Arabidopsis thaliana: one gene and its partners. The protein of the gene in region 2 interacts with the protein of the main gene of each other region in a biochemical or structural test. Each region holds a gene or a part of one and is shown on either strand. Other genes may lie near its edges. The genes, in order: SOS2, GI and SOS3.

The links.
Region 1: the proteins of GI (region 2) and SOS2 form a complex in vitro, tested with the Arabidopsis thaliana proteins (one study listed by BioGRID).
Region 3: the proteins of GI (region 2) and SOS3 form a complex in vitro, tested with the Arabidopsis thaliana proteins (one study listed by BioGRID).

The regions. Positions count from the first base shown.
Region 1 is NC_003076.8:13,631,451-13,635,998, reverse strand, and holds the start of SOS2 (Protein kinase superfamily protein), read right to left. Parts: upstream 1,601-4,548; 5' UTR 1,382-1,600; intron 1,084-1,381; 5' UTR 1,067-1,083; coding exon 902-1,066; intron 816-901; coding exon 753-815; intron 655-752; coding exon 583-654; intron 498-582; coding exon 390-497; intron 293-389; coding exon 218-292; intron 150-217; coding exon 1-149. UniProt on the Arabidopsis thaliana protein: Involved in the regulatory pathway for the control of intracellular Na(+) and K(+) homeostasis and salt tolerance.
Region 2 is NC_003070.9:8,059,582-8,064,129, reverse strand, and holds the start of GI (gigantea protein (GI)), read right to left. Parts: upstream 2,380-4,548; 5' UTR 2,149-2,379; intron 1,940-2,148; 5' UTR 1,733-1,939; coding exon 1,568-1,732; intron 1,488-1,567; coding exon 1,433-1,487; intron 1,355-1,432; coding exon 1,212-1,354; intron 1,128-1,211; coding exon 856-1,127; intron 710-855; coding exon 654-709; intron 485-653; coding exon 247-484; intron 121-246; coding exon 1-120. UniProt on the Arabidopsis thaliana protein: Involved in regulation of circadian rhythm and photoperiodic flowering. May play a role in maintenance of circadian amplitude and period length. Is involved in phytochrome B signaling. Stabilizes ADO3 and the circadian photoreceptor ADO1/ZTL.
Region 3 is NC_003076.8:8,240,843-8,245,390, forward strand, and holds the start of SOS3 (Calcium-binding EF-hand family protein), read right to left. Parts: upstream 2,602-4,548; 5' UTR 2,289-2,601; exon of another isoform or gene 1-2,288. Other genes in the region: AT5G24275 (En/Spm-like transposon), read right to left, coding at 4,108-4,321, 4,399-4,536.

The DNA of each region.
Region 1 (4,548 bases), on a different chromosome or scaffold from region 2:
GAAAAAGGTAAATATCCAGCCAATATAACGAAAAGAATAACCCCGCAAGACCAAATATCAGCTGCTGAACCATCGTAACCCTGTCCACTAAGTACCTCTGGAGCTACATAGTTCGGAGTTCCACATGTGGTACGCAGAAGTTCTACTCCCTGATTGAGTATATAACAAGTTAATGACCACGTAAGCAGACTGCTGAAGCAGAGATAAGAGCACTTACTTCCTGAGGCAATGCACTGAGTCCGAAATCCGAAACCTTCAGATTTCCATTTGTATCGAGTAAAAGATTTTCTGGCTAGATAACATAACATAGCGACACAAAAATATCAAGTCTGGATTGCAACGCAGTGAGATATTCTGAGGAATATTGGTAAACAAAAACACGTCTTTACCTTTAGGTCACGGTGGTAAACACCCTTGCAGTGACAATGAGCAACAGCATCTACAAGCTGTTGAAAGTATTTCCGAGACTCACTTTCTTCAAGCCTCCCTTTATGAACCTGCATGAAAGATTTCATATATTAAAAAATTAAGTAGAGAGGTTTTAACTAATGGACGCTGCCTACAAGTATGGAAGTTCCGTACAATTCTATCAAAGAGCTCTCCTCCTGTCACAAACTCCAAAACTATATATATTTTCGAAGGACTCGCCAACACCTACATCGGGAAAATCACAAAAAAACAACAGAAGAACAATGATGCAAAAACACTTCAGAGATAAAATTTCGCAGATGCATGGAAACAAACAAACATACCTCATACAACCTCACTATGTTCGGGTGACGAACAATCTTCATTATAGATATCTCTCTTTTTATCTGTAAAAGAGCTTTAAACGAAATCAAAGATCATACCATTGACGCAACAACCTTAGTTTCCATGTAAAAAACAATCCAGAACATACCTGATCAACCATTCTGTTCTTAAGTATTGTACTCTTAGCCATAATTTTGATGGCTACATTATCACCAGTGTCTGTGTTCCTCGCAAACTTAACCTTAGCAAAGGTTCCTTCACCTATTGTGCGACCAACCTCGTACTTGCCCACTCTTCTCATTTTCTTTGTCATTCTTTACAAACTTTTATCTGATCCATTGACCACAAGCTATCAATCAGATTATTCAGAGACTTAGTAAAAACCTCTTTCCTTAAACGTTTATGATTTCGATTTCAATTACTTTACGTATTGTTTGCTAATTTTAGCTCCTACACATCCATATATACAAAATTACTCTGTATCCATAATTTTGATTTCGCAGCATAAATCAACATAAATTCGATCAAGGAAACGACGAAAAGGTAAGGATCAAGATCATAATCAATATATAAAATTCGTACGGCTGGAATTGCGATTGGGCGTAGTCGAAAGAGAATCGTGAAATACCAGAATTGGATTCGCAGAGAAGGGTTGATGAAAGAGGCGTAGGAGAGAAGGAAGGCTCGTGATGCGATTCGCGAAAGCCGTGAATCGTCGATGCGAACGTCCGTGCAGATCCGTTGAGCATTTCGGGTCGGGTTATTTGACTGTACCCGTATACGACCTGAATTAGTCGTTCGGGTCAATTATCCGTTTGGGTGATTAAACTTTTAAAAACTAACATTGCATTTTGAATCTTTCAATTTAATAATTGTGAGGTTTTCAAAATTTAAAAAAGAAAAAAAAAACTAATCTAATATCACTTATCAATTTAGTAAATTATTTTTAAAAAATAAACATATAGTATTTTCAAAATTTATTTTAATTTTTTTCAAATTATCTAGACTATGATTAATCGAACTCAAATTAGTAAAATTTTCTATTTTTAACTACAAATTTTTAACTTCATTTAAGTCAAGCAAGGTTCAAAAAAACCAAGAGAACAAGGATGTCTAAGTTTAAGACAAAGCATACAAAGATACTTTCCAATGCTACAAAGTGATATATAAAAAAGTTCGATAAGGATTCGTGAGAGTTTGGAAACAAACACTAGGGAAAAATTTGGCGTAAGTGATAACACGGTTTATCGACGGTTCATTCACAAAGCAATGGTCAAAAAGATGGTCACGGTCAATATACTAGGTGATGTTGAAGAGGCTTTTATGGCCTAGATTTTCGCCGGCACGAGAAGAGCTTCATCAACAAGGAAGAGGACTATGGTTCTATAGTCGGTTGGGATTTGCTTTAAAGGTTCAAGATCTTTTTTAAAAAGTTTGAAAACTTCTTGATAGTCCTATAGTCGGTTGGGATTCACATTAAATGTTCAAAAATCATACATACAAAGTAACGATGACAATGTCAATGAAAAATTGGCAATGAAGATGATAAGAAGGAATACAAGAGCAAGAAAATAATGAATGTGAAGAGAAATATGAAATGTAGGTGTTGGTGGCTAATTGAATATAAGAAAAAATATTGATAAGAATGAAAAAGTATTACAGTAATATTTTTGCATTATTAAAAATAAAAATAACTATACATTAGTACTTTTGCATTATGTTTTTTTATATAAATAACGTAAATGAAACTTACAAAACAATTCCGTTAAAAAGTTATCAATAGTAATTTTTGATTATTAACTTATGATCATATGTAGGGGTGTCAAAATGGGTCAAAATTCATGGGTCAACTCAACTCAACTCAACCCATGAACCCTAATGAGTTGAAATTTTTGACTCAAATGAGTTGATGAGTCAAATGAGTTGATGAGTCAATTGGTTTGATGAGTAAAATGAGTTAGGTTGTAATGGTTAATGGTTTCCATGGTTTATCCAATTAACCCATCAAATTTTGTAAAATTGAATAAAACCAACTAAAATCTCTAAACCAATGCCAATTTAGGTTTAACCAACACATCTAAACCAATTTAATAAAATTAATATTTTTCCAAATTTCTTAAATATACAAGCAATGAAATTGAGAAAAAGTAAACTCGTAATTTTTCCACCAAAAAACATAAATCCGTGATTTTCCCGCAAAAAAAAGTAAACCCGTGATTTTCTCGCAAAAAACGTAAACCCGAGATTTTCCCGCCAAAAACGTAAACACGAGATTTTCCCGCCAAAAACGTAAACCCGAGATTTTCCCGCCAAAAACGTAAACCCGAGATTTTCCCGCCAAAAACGTAAATCCATAATTTTCTCGCCAAAAACGTAAACCCGTAATTTTCCCACCAAAAACGTAAACCCGAGATTTTCCCGCCAAAAACGTAAATCCATAATTTCCCCGCCAAAAACGTAAACCCGTAATTTTCCCGCCAAAAATGTAAATCCCGTGATTTTCCCGCCAAAAACGTAAACTCGTAATTTTCTCGCCAAAAAACGAAAACCCGTGATTTTCCCGCCAAAAACGTAAACCCGTGATTTTCCCGCCAAAAACGTAAATCCGTGATTTTCTCGCCAAAAACGTAAATCCGTGATTTTCCCGCCAAAAACGTATACCCGAGATTTTCCTGCCAAAAACTTAAACCCGTAATTTTCCCGCCAGAAACGTAAATCCGTAATTTTCCCGCAAAAAACGTAAATCCATGATTTTATCGTCAAAAACGTAAATCCATAAAAAGTGTAATACGTAAATATCCTAAGTTTGATGATAATGAATTAATAATGATAATTATTTATTATGTTTTGTAATAATAATTAATTAAATTATTACTTAAATGGGTTAACCCATTTAACAACTCAACCCATCAAATTAAATGAGTTATGGGTTGACCCAACTCATTTTGTTACCCTAAACTCATTTGATTATAAGTTGAGTTGAGTTGACTTACCCATTTTGACACTCCTAATCATATGTCAATGTATAGCTAATTAGCTACTAAAATGATTACTAAACAAAAAACATATATTAAGACAATCGATAACAACAAACCTCGCATAGCGGGGGTTAATAACCTAGTCTATACTCTTAAAAAAGTCGAGATTATTTGCTTCTTAGAGCATCCACATAGATTTTAAACAACCAATCGAGATTAGCCATCTCGCTAATTAACATTTATTAAATTATTCTTTTTCTATTTTTTAAATTTTTTGTAAAATAGAAAAAAACCAATATATGAAAATAAAAAAAATATTTTAAAATATGGAAAAGTTTCTAAATGTTTTGTCACCAAATAATATAAACATTATCAAAATATAAATTTCTATTTTATTAAATTTATAAACGAAAATAAATAATTTATTATTAGTCTCTCTAAATTTATTAGTGCTTCATAGATAATTACAATCAATATTTAATCACAATAAGTATCTCATTAAATGATATTTTTAAAATTTACGCTTTTTATATTAAAAACAAAATATTGAAAGAAAATGAATTGTAATAAATATGAGAAATGATGACAATATATGGAAGCAAGATGTATATAAATTTAGTTATTATAATACATTAAATAATTCATATTAATCTCACAATTTTGATTAATCTATCCTATTTTTATAAGTGAACAATCCCGATTAATCGAATCACTATTGATATTTTTGACATCACGTTAATTAATATTATTAAATTATATATTATATAGATTAAGATATTTATGAAAGAAAAAAATATATATGTAAAACATAGAAATG
Region 2 (4,548 bases):
CGAAGGAGTTCCACAAGCTGTACAGCAGCATCAAGTGCATCTGGAGCCCACGACGGTGGTGCTTCTAAGAGTCCAAGAAGAAGTCTCTGCGTAGCACTTGGAGTTGCAATGGCATAGTATCTGACAGTATAACAGGAAAGTGAGAAAACAATTCTGATCTAGGGATTCGAGGAAGCACAACCTTAAAACTAGCAACAGACTACTACCAATAAACCCTAATTGAAAGGGTAAGCCCAGAAACAATACCTATGAAACAAACGTGCATATGGTTCAAGAGCTGGAAGGCCAGCAACTAGATGCTCATCTAAGGATGTCGTTGGCGGAGGAAGAAGAAGTGCAGGGACAGCGACCGCTGTCAGCGTAGCAGTCTCATATCGAGCAACTTCATCATCACAAACACTCAGTATGACACCAGCTCCATTAGCAACAGCCCATCTTGGGGTTGAAGGCATCAGTTGAGGATGTTTACCAGATCCTCGAGAAGCTGCCAAAGTAGGACAACATGAAAGTTATAGGAAGCAACTCAAAACACATTCTATAGCCACAGGTGATGGATACACATTTATGAACGAAGTGATAGAACAACTCTATTGATCAGAATTATCATCAAAATCCAGTTCCAGGGGATATTAACATGGAATTCTTGAACTCACCAATGGTTGGCGGCTTGAGCTCTCCAGCAGCATATTTACCCATTACACCACTACACCTGTAAATAATAAGCAACATTTTTAGTTGTCAGTAAGCTTAATCCACTACAGAACCTCAATACATAGACCTCAGCAGAGAGACCAAAATAAAAGAAGGAGGCCGGCGCATGAACACATAGAAGCATCAGTAACAGAGTCTACTTACCATCGGAAATAGTCACTTCTTATACCAAGAGGAGCAGCAAGTAGTATATCACTGATCCATGGAGACAAAGGCCTTAAAGGTTTCCTTTCATGCTGTGTTGGTGATCCAGCCTTAGGCTCTGAAGTCGGAGAACCACTAGTTGTAGCTTTGCTCAGACAATTTCTCTCTGTATCTCCATTTTGCTGCTCAGTTTTATAAATGGGACGGTTGTAATGAGTCAAAATGCGAAGGATTTCTCCACATGCCAAAGCCCATTGCTCCGAATAGTCATTCTGTTAGGATAGTGAACATGTTAGCACAAAATGGTATAGGTTACACCAAATCAGTAAGCATGATACTAGACAGCTATTATATACCTCACTACTTGGGCAAACTAAAGATATGAAAGAGGCAAACGGATGAGCTTCCTTGCTGTACACCAACGAGCCATCAATAAGACATGAAATGATTGGAAGAATGACTGCATGACCATGCTCCGGATGATGAAGGACAAACATCGCTGTTTCATCAGAAAACGAAAATCAGATAGACATTCACACACAAAAAGAGAAGTGTGGATCATAAATGTTGATCATACCCAGCACATCGTCTAAAAGTCGCTTCTCAGTTGATGGATACTGATGCCGGACCAACTGATACAGATAAATTATACATGAATCAAAACGTCACTACTAAGAGAATACTCTTATTAAACTCATTAGGTATCAAGTACCTCAGCAATGTCATCTGGGAATTGCTCTGATGTAAATTGACCAAAATATTCAACATAAGCAACGACTTGATCCTTATGTTGTTGAGGATCTCGTGGCGGAGGCCATAACAAGGAAGAGAACTGAAGACCATCGATCCATCTCTCAGATGAAGATGAACTAGCCATCCAGGAACCGAAACTAAACCCCAACTAGATGAACGAACAATCTAACTAACACCTTTCTTCTACTATCAATCGAGAATCAATACGACGTAGTGTTAACATTCGCCAGCAAGAACAATCACTATACACATCTCCCAGATTCTTTTAAATCCTTTTTATACTAATCAACACACTGTACACTAAATCGAAGCTGAATCAAACAGCTAAACCCTGTAACAACAATTCAGAAGAACAAAATCTCAATCAGATAAGATGTCAAATCAAACAACAAATCTAAGCTGAGAAAACAAAAAATGCTAGTAGAAACAGTGATTTACCAAGAACTTATTTAAAAAAAAAAGACATCAAATGATTCGGGAAAAAATCTCATCTGAGAATCAATCAACCAAAAACCACGAAAAAGGTAGTAGAAGAAAGACCTGAAAGTAAATATGTCTTCCTATGAGTTTGTTGGTTGGTTATCTCTACTCTTGCTTTTTTTTGGCTTTGAGGATATTTTTGAGAGATCGACGAATATCGGAGAAAAAAAGAATACATACACAGAAGAAGAGATTGTGGTGGCCTTAGGAGAGAGAGAGAGAAAAAAGAGATTTGGAGGCTTCTCCACTCGGTTTAAGATTTCCCGTCTGCTTACGTGTCATCGATATTTCCTTGCCTTTGCCACCACCTTTATGCGCCATTACCATATAACCATCATCATCCCACATACATCTCCACCCATACCATGGTTAAAAAATTTACCATATTTTTGTTACATTTTTTAAGCATATATATATGAAATTTTATTTTAAAAAATTTTACTGGTAGTTTATGTTAGTGTTGTTTTGGAATCACAATGCGAATTCAAATTCGTATATTGTATGTTACAATCACCAAGAAAAATGTTTGCCAATTTAAGTAATTAATTTTAATCCTAATAAATAAATTTTGTAAACTCAGATTTACTCCAAAATTCTGTCTATTTTTAACCATGAGCTAAGTTTAAAATCTACTTAAACATATAATTATATCAATAATATTTGGCTGTTTTAAAATAAACCATTACATTCACAGTATGGCATATATTGGTAAAGAATTTGTACAAGTAATCAGAGAGATTATTTTATTTCAAGGTTTGGTGGTCATGATTGTATTATTGAGTTATTAATTTAAGTATATAACATCTCTCATGTGATTGCCTAATTAATTAATAGTTTCATTACACAAAAAAAAAGCTAGTGACATATGTCCACAGATATTTTGAGGGGAGCTAAGTTCAGATGCTACGAGATGTTACGTACACCTTCGAATTATCCACCGTTGATTCAAGCCCACTCAACAAATTCCTTTAAGAGATTTCGGGCAGCTAGCCCAGAATAGTTTCGAGCCGTTCGATGGTTGTAGATAAACGGGCAGCTTTTGAGGAACAGCCCGTTGAGAAAATATCTAAATGGGCCTCACACATCTTTTAAGATATTTTAAAATCTTACCACTTGTCTCTACTGTACCACATAAACAAGTAGCACAATAAAATGATGACGTGTACCAATCAGAGTGGAGCAAGAGATCTGTGGACGTTGATCACTCGCCAAATAAGAGACGTGGCGCAATAAGATGTGAGCAATATATTGTAATGATCTCCATACGATTCGTGATTGTGTGGTCCACTTCTGTCTGGATGGCTCTTGTCTGAAGAATACTCCATGGTAACATAACTGGGCTTTGGTCATGTACCATGTGATGTGATGGGCTCAAACCTTACGTGGAGTTATGTAACTGGGCTAAATTGTAATTTTAATTTTTCAGTAATTGCTTGTAATACAAATATATTTTTTGATATCAAATTGTAATTTTGAGGAGAACTTACTATTATTAATGAAGATGATAAAATGTTACATTAATGTATCATTCTAATCATAGTAAATATATTAAGAATTACCTCAATTTTTTGGTTTATGATTTACCAATTAGGGAAAACATTAATTTTAATAAAAGCTACTTTGCCTACCTCTTTTTTTTTTGTTAATATATCATTTTAATAACAAGCTTTTATTAAAGTAATATTATGGTGGAGAAATTTTTATAAAATTCTAAAACTTTTTGAAAAGGCGTATTCTCAAATTGTAGGCATTTCAGTTGATATATTATAAGTTTAAGTTATAGTCCAACGAATTATTTCTTTTGTGGTTTAGCAAACGAGATGTTCATCATTACCCATTTCATTGTCAACAAAACCTTTAGAAAATGATATTAGTTATCTTCAAGTATGACTATTATAAATTTATACAGTACAATATACTTTTTTCACAGAAGGACCGTGACATCAATCAATTTAGTATAAGAAAAATCAAATGGAAAAAAAAAAAAAAAAATCAAATGAACATCTTTGCAACGCGAAACTAAGCTCAACACTTGATTTATTCATTATGTTATACTTTAAATTTAAAAATCTTTAATGATATCTTCTTCTTTTTTTGCTAAATTCAAAAAATCTTTAATGATATATAAATTTAGTAAATATTACTGATTAGAGATATGCTGGTTTAGTTTTCATCCGATCATAGTTAGATGTGGTATTTACATAATATAATCCATAAACTAACATAATTCCCTTTTTATCTCAACTCAAAATATATGTAAAGGTGTATATTCAAAAAAGTTTGTCAAGTATTACGAACAAACAAATCAGTTACAATATTCAAATATTTGTCAAGTATTCATATATTTCTAAATTTCAAAGTAAGAGAAAAAAGAAAGTGGATGGAACAATCTAGAACCGAACACAATGAATGGAAATATGAGCAAGTTATAATTTAAATATGTAAAAGGAGAGTGAAGTC
Region 3 (4,548 bases), on a different chromosome or scaffold from region 2:
TAGCTTTCACGACAGCTAGTAAGCTCTCCCTAAACAATCAATTCATTAACAGAAGTAGCCAAAATTAGAACAAAAACAGCGTTTTCCCTATTTAATCTATAATTTAGTAATGATTCACAATAAACGTAATGAAACCAAATATTATATAATTCACAGAAGGTGTAGGCAAGTCGCCGTATTAGCCACGCTAATGACTAGGTGTATAGATATAAGAGATAATTAGTTTACTCCTAATTTTATTATCCCTAATAACATAGATAAATGATCAAAGTCTCCTATGATATATGCATACATATAGATAATACATAAATACAAATACCGGATCAATATCAAATCTAATCGACGTTGGTCCACGTATATACATGAATCAGTCAATGTACTCTAGTAAATATCTACAAAGATGTTTTCTTTTCTTTTCCAAATAAGCTTGAACCTATGTCCAACTCAATCACAAGAACACATTTAAGCGAGTAATACAACCATGTCGTAAGTTTAGGAACATAATAAGAAGCCGGATAGGTTGAATAAATAACGGCTTTGAATGGTAACTCATTATCAAAGTTGTACAAACTGTACAACTTTGACAGTTACCATTCAAAAAAACTTTATCAAAAACGTTACAAAAAGTTTTATTCTAAACTTTTCTGTACAGCTCTTTTAGACAGTTTTGTACTATTTCGTAACAGTTTACCGCTCCAGCTAACAGCTAAAGTTTTGTGTTACCAATCAGACCCAACATGATTTAAGTTGTTTTGGTGAGTACATTTTTAAGTGAAGAGAGACTAGAATGGATTTTGAACGAAAAGGATAGAGAACTAAGAGAAGAGTTACAATATGAATGGCCATGGGACCACATTAAAAAGTGATGCTTTATCAAAAATCAATAATCACGAGATTGAGACAACCTTTTGTTGCTTTTTTCAATGTAGGCAATTTATATGTGTTTTACTAATAAATAAAACAAAAAGGGCTTGATTACACTTACACTAATATCTAGAGACTATATAGTATATTTAAATCTCGTTTTGTTCCAAAAAAGCCACGTAAAATCCTCAACCATACTAGCATTTAATTTGGTACATATCAGAGCCTGTCTTTGACCAGGCAAAGCGAATCTTGAACTTGGAACCTCAAATCTAATATAGTATATATTTGAAAACTACATGAGCCTAGTTGGTTAATTAATGAATCATTAATAATGATCAACTAATGCCTAAGGAAGGTTTTGGTGCATTTGGCTTTTCTATGACATTTCTAATTAATGTATTAATTTATGGACCATTTTGATTTTGTTATGTGTGGAGCCTCCAAATTCTCATTACCTGTTTTTTAGATCTATACGTAATCATACTCAATGTACGTCGTGTAAACAAACTTAGACATATCTAATTTAGAAGCAGTATTTTCATCTTGTTGTTTACTTCTCGCGATCTTTTTGTATAATTAATAACAAAAATGTTGTTTAATCAAACCGGCCACGCAGCAATATGACGTTTTAAAATTAATTATTTTCTCTATAAGTATTTAAATAGTAAAAATGAAAAAAAAAAAAACTTGCAGCTATTGACTTTTATAATTTATTTGCTATAAATAAGTTTATTAGGTGTGGTCTTTGATTTTTAGTAAGAAATCAAATTTGCCATCTCCTCTCCTTAGACTCTAAATCACCAAAAGTGACACAAGAAACAAAAAAACAGTTCTAAATATCTAATGGCTACCAACTAATTAAACACCCACCAAAATCGAACCGAGATGGACCAAACCGGATATGATCCAATTTGTAATCTCTAATCTGAAATAACTTGATTTCGATTGAAACCAAAACCAAAGCCAAATTCCATTGAATGATTAATGGAATGTTGGAAACTATACACTCAATTAGAAGAAAAACAAAAATCAAACGGTTCAATTCAGTCTATAGCACTAAAGAACTCAATTGAGTCAGTTTTAAAGAATGGTTTTGCTTTGGTTTGTTTGTTTTTTCTAATATTTAACCGAATTATACTAAATCTTATCAGAAGATTCCTGGAAACACGGACATATTTTGACTCTTTCTTGAAGAAAACCCAAGATGGGATAAACTTCAAGCTCATAAACCTCCATTTCGAAAAAAAGAGAGAGGAAAACAGTGAATTCCTTTACATATATCTTGAGGTGGACTAAAAATTACGAAACAGAAAACCAAAACATGGAAGTGATAGAAAAAAAAAACATTGGATAGAGATGAAAGATTTTCTCAGCAATGGTGAATCGAAGAAACAAAAAAAATAAGATCAAAAATAACTAACCAAGATATGGATGAATCTCTATATGTTCTTGTCGACTCTTCACTTGTCTCGATCTTGAATAATTGAATAATGGTGTTGGAAGAGGAAAAGGGCAAAATGAGAGTTATTTAAATAGAAGAACAAATTTGTGACGAGCTTCCCAACATCGGGTTAGGTTTGTGTCCGTCCATGCGCAGATGGATCCCGATGTTATGTCGGTTTTGAAAATATATTTTTATATCGTGTACTATAAACTATATAGCAATGTTTCCTCGACCTTCTATTTATGACAAACAAAAAAAATATTAGAGTAGTACTGTTTTCAAGTCCCACCTCACTTTTTAATTTCCTTTTGTTGACACTTGTGGTGGTTGTTGGCAAATAATCTTTTAAAAAATTATAAATATGAGAGGCAGTTTTTGATATAAAAATAACCTAAAATATTATTCACTTCTGAAAATACACCAATTTTAAAAAAGTTAATTATATATTTCATAAGAAATTTTGTCTTACACCTTCGCTTGATGTGTTTGTCTTGGACCTTAGTTTGATGTTTGATATAAATAAAATGGACACTCTTGTGACCAAAAAAAAAGTCGCTAATATATTTCTTAAACTAACTAATACAAATTTTCTTACAGATGATTGATAATTACATTTATACGTATGCTCATTTTTGTAGTAATTATTATGATTCCGATAAAAATGAACTCGATTGTTTATGAAAATTTTAACAATTACCATGAAAACGTAACTATGAAAGAGATATATCACATTCATCATCGTCAAGCTACCAGATTCCACAATGTACATCACTTTTTATAGGGTTTGGAACTTGTCAGCTGATCATACCCGTCCTATAAGAGAGCTTCCTACTCTTACATAAAAAAAAACATGACAACACTGAAACTACATGTGCCTAACTTTTCTAACTTTCGTCATGATCCACAGAGTTTTATTTTCTTAGTTCAATTACAAAATCTTTATTTTATTTATAGTTGACCCATCATTTCATTTGCACTTTTTCAATTAAACAAAAAATTACGATGTGAAATGATAAATTTTCCTTCACTTTTTGCCCACTAGTATTCTCTTTTTGTCTGTTGGATTGGTGATATTTTAAAAGTTTGGTTTTGCTACCATGGCTATTTTCTTATAATATGTTCGTTATGGTTCAAAAAATCTAGTTATTTAAAAAGATCATAGCAGCAAGATCAAAAACAAACTTTTGAAATAGAAAATTGGTGAACAAAATACCATTAACCGAAAAAGAAAATGAAATTTCAGAACAAAAGTGACTAATCCAAAAACACAAAAACCAAACCGATAACCAACAGGTAAACAAACTGTTTGAATCGTTTTAGGTCCAGTTTTACTCTCATTACTCTAAAGACTGAGACTGGATTAGCTCTAATGAGTTTGTGACATTGTGATATTTTTCATTTGTTTTCTTCATTTTCTTGTCTACCTTACGCATTGAACACTTCTCCTCCTCTATCTTCTTCGCTGCCATTCTCACTTTATCTCTTGCTGCTTCCATTTTTCTCAGCTTCACTTCTTCATCCTCCTTTAGTGTAATCGGGAAATGAAATTCCGGTATGCTGATCCAAAAACCATAAATCATATCATCCGCAGTAAATACAGATGCAAGGAATAAAACTCGAGTTTTGAGCTTTACAGTTTAAATTCAAGAACTAAAACGGATACAAGGATCAAGAAAAGGTCAAGTACCTGCACCCGGAATATATGAATCCGTTATCTTTTGCGATAAAACCATCTAAAGAGACTGCACCACCACCATTGATGTGTGGAAGAGCTGCTTTAACTTGCTTTTGGGTCTCTATACCTGTAAATTCCCAAAGAGATTATAGAACAAAGTCTCTCTAAGCCCGTATCCTGAGTAAGTTTGAACAGTGAGCTCCTCTGGAGCCAAATCAATCATGTTCACGGCATAGCCCTTGAAACCCGGTATGGGATCTCCATCGGGCAGCTTTGGGTCATCCATGGCTAATTTCTTCTGAGGATCGTTCTCCAAAAGTCCATCCTTCCAAGGTCTGCGTGTTTGAAAAGATCACTTATGATTCTGTCAGAAACGACTCTAAGGTTTAGCTATCGATATGTTGACAAATACCTGATTGCATCAAGACATAGAACATGAAACCGATGATTGGACTGAAGCCTGAGAAACTCAGCATTATTAGGTCCAATTTGTGCCGATTTGCATACCAAAGCGAGCAACATGTCTTCTCCCAAATATTCAGATAACACCCTGCATACCAAA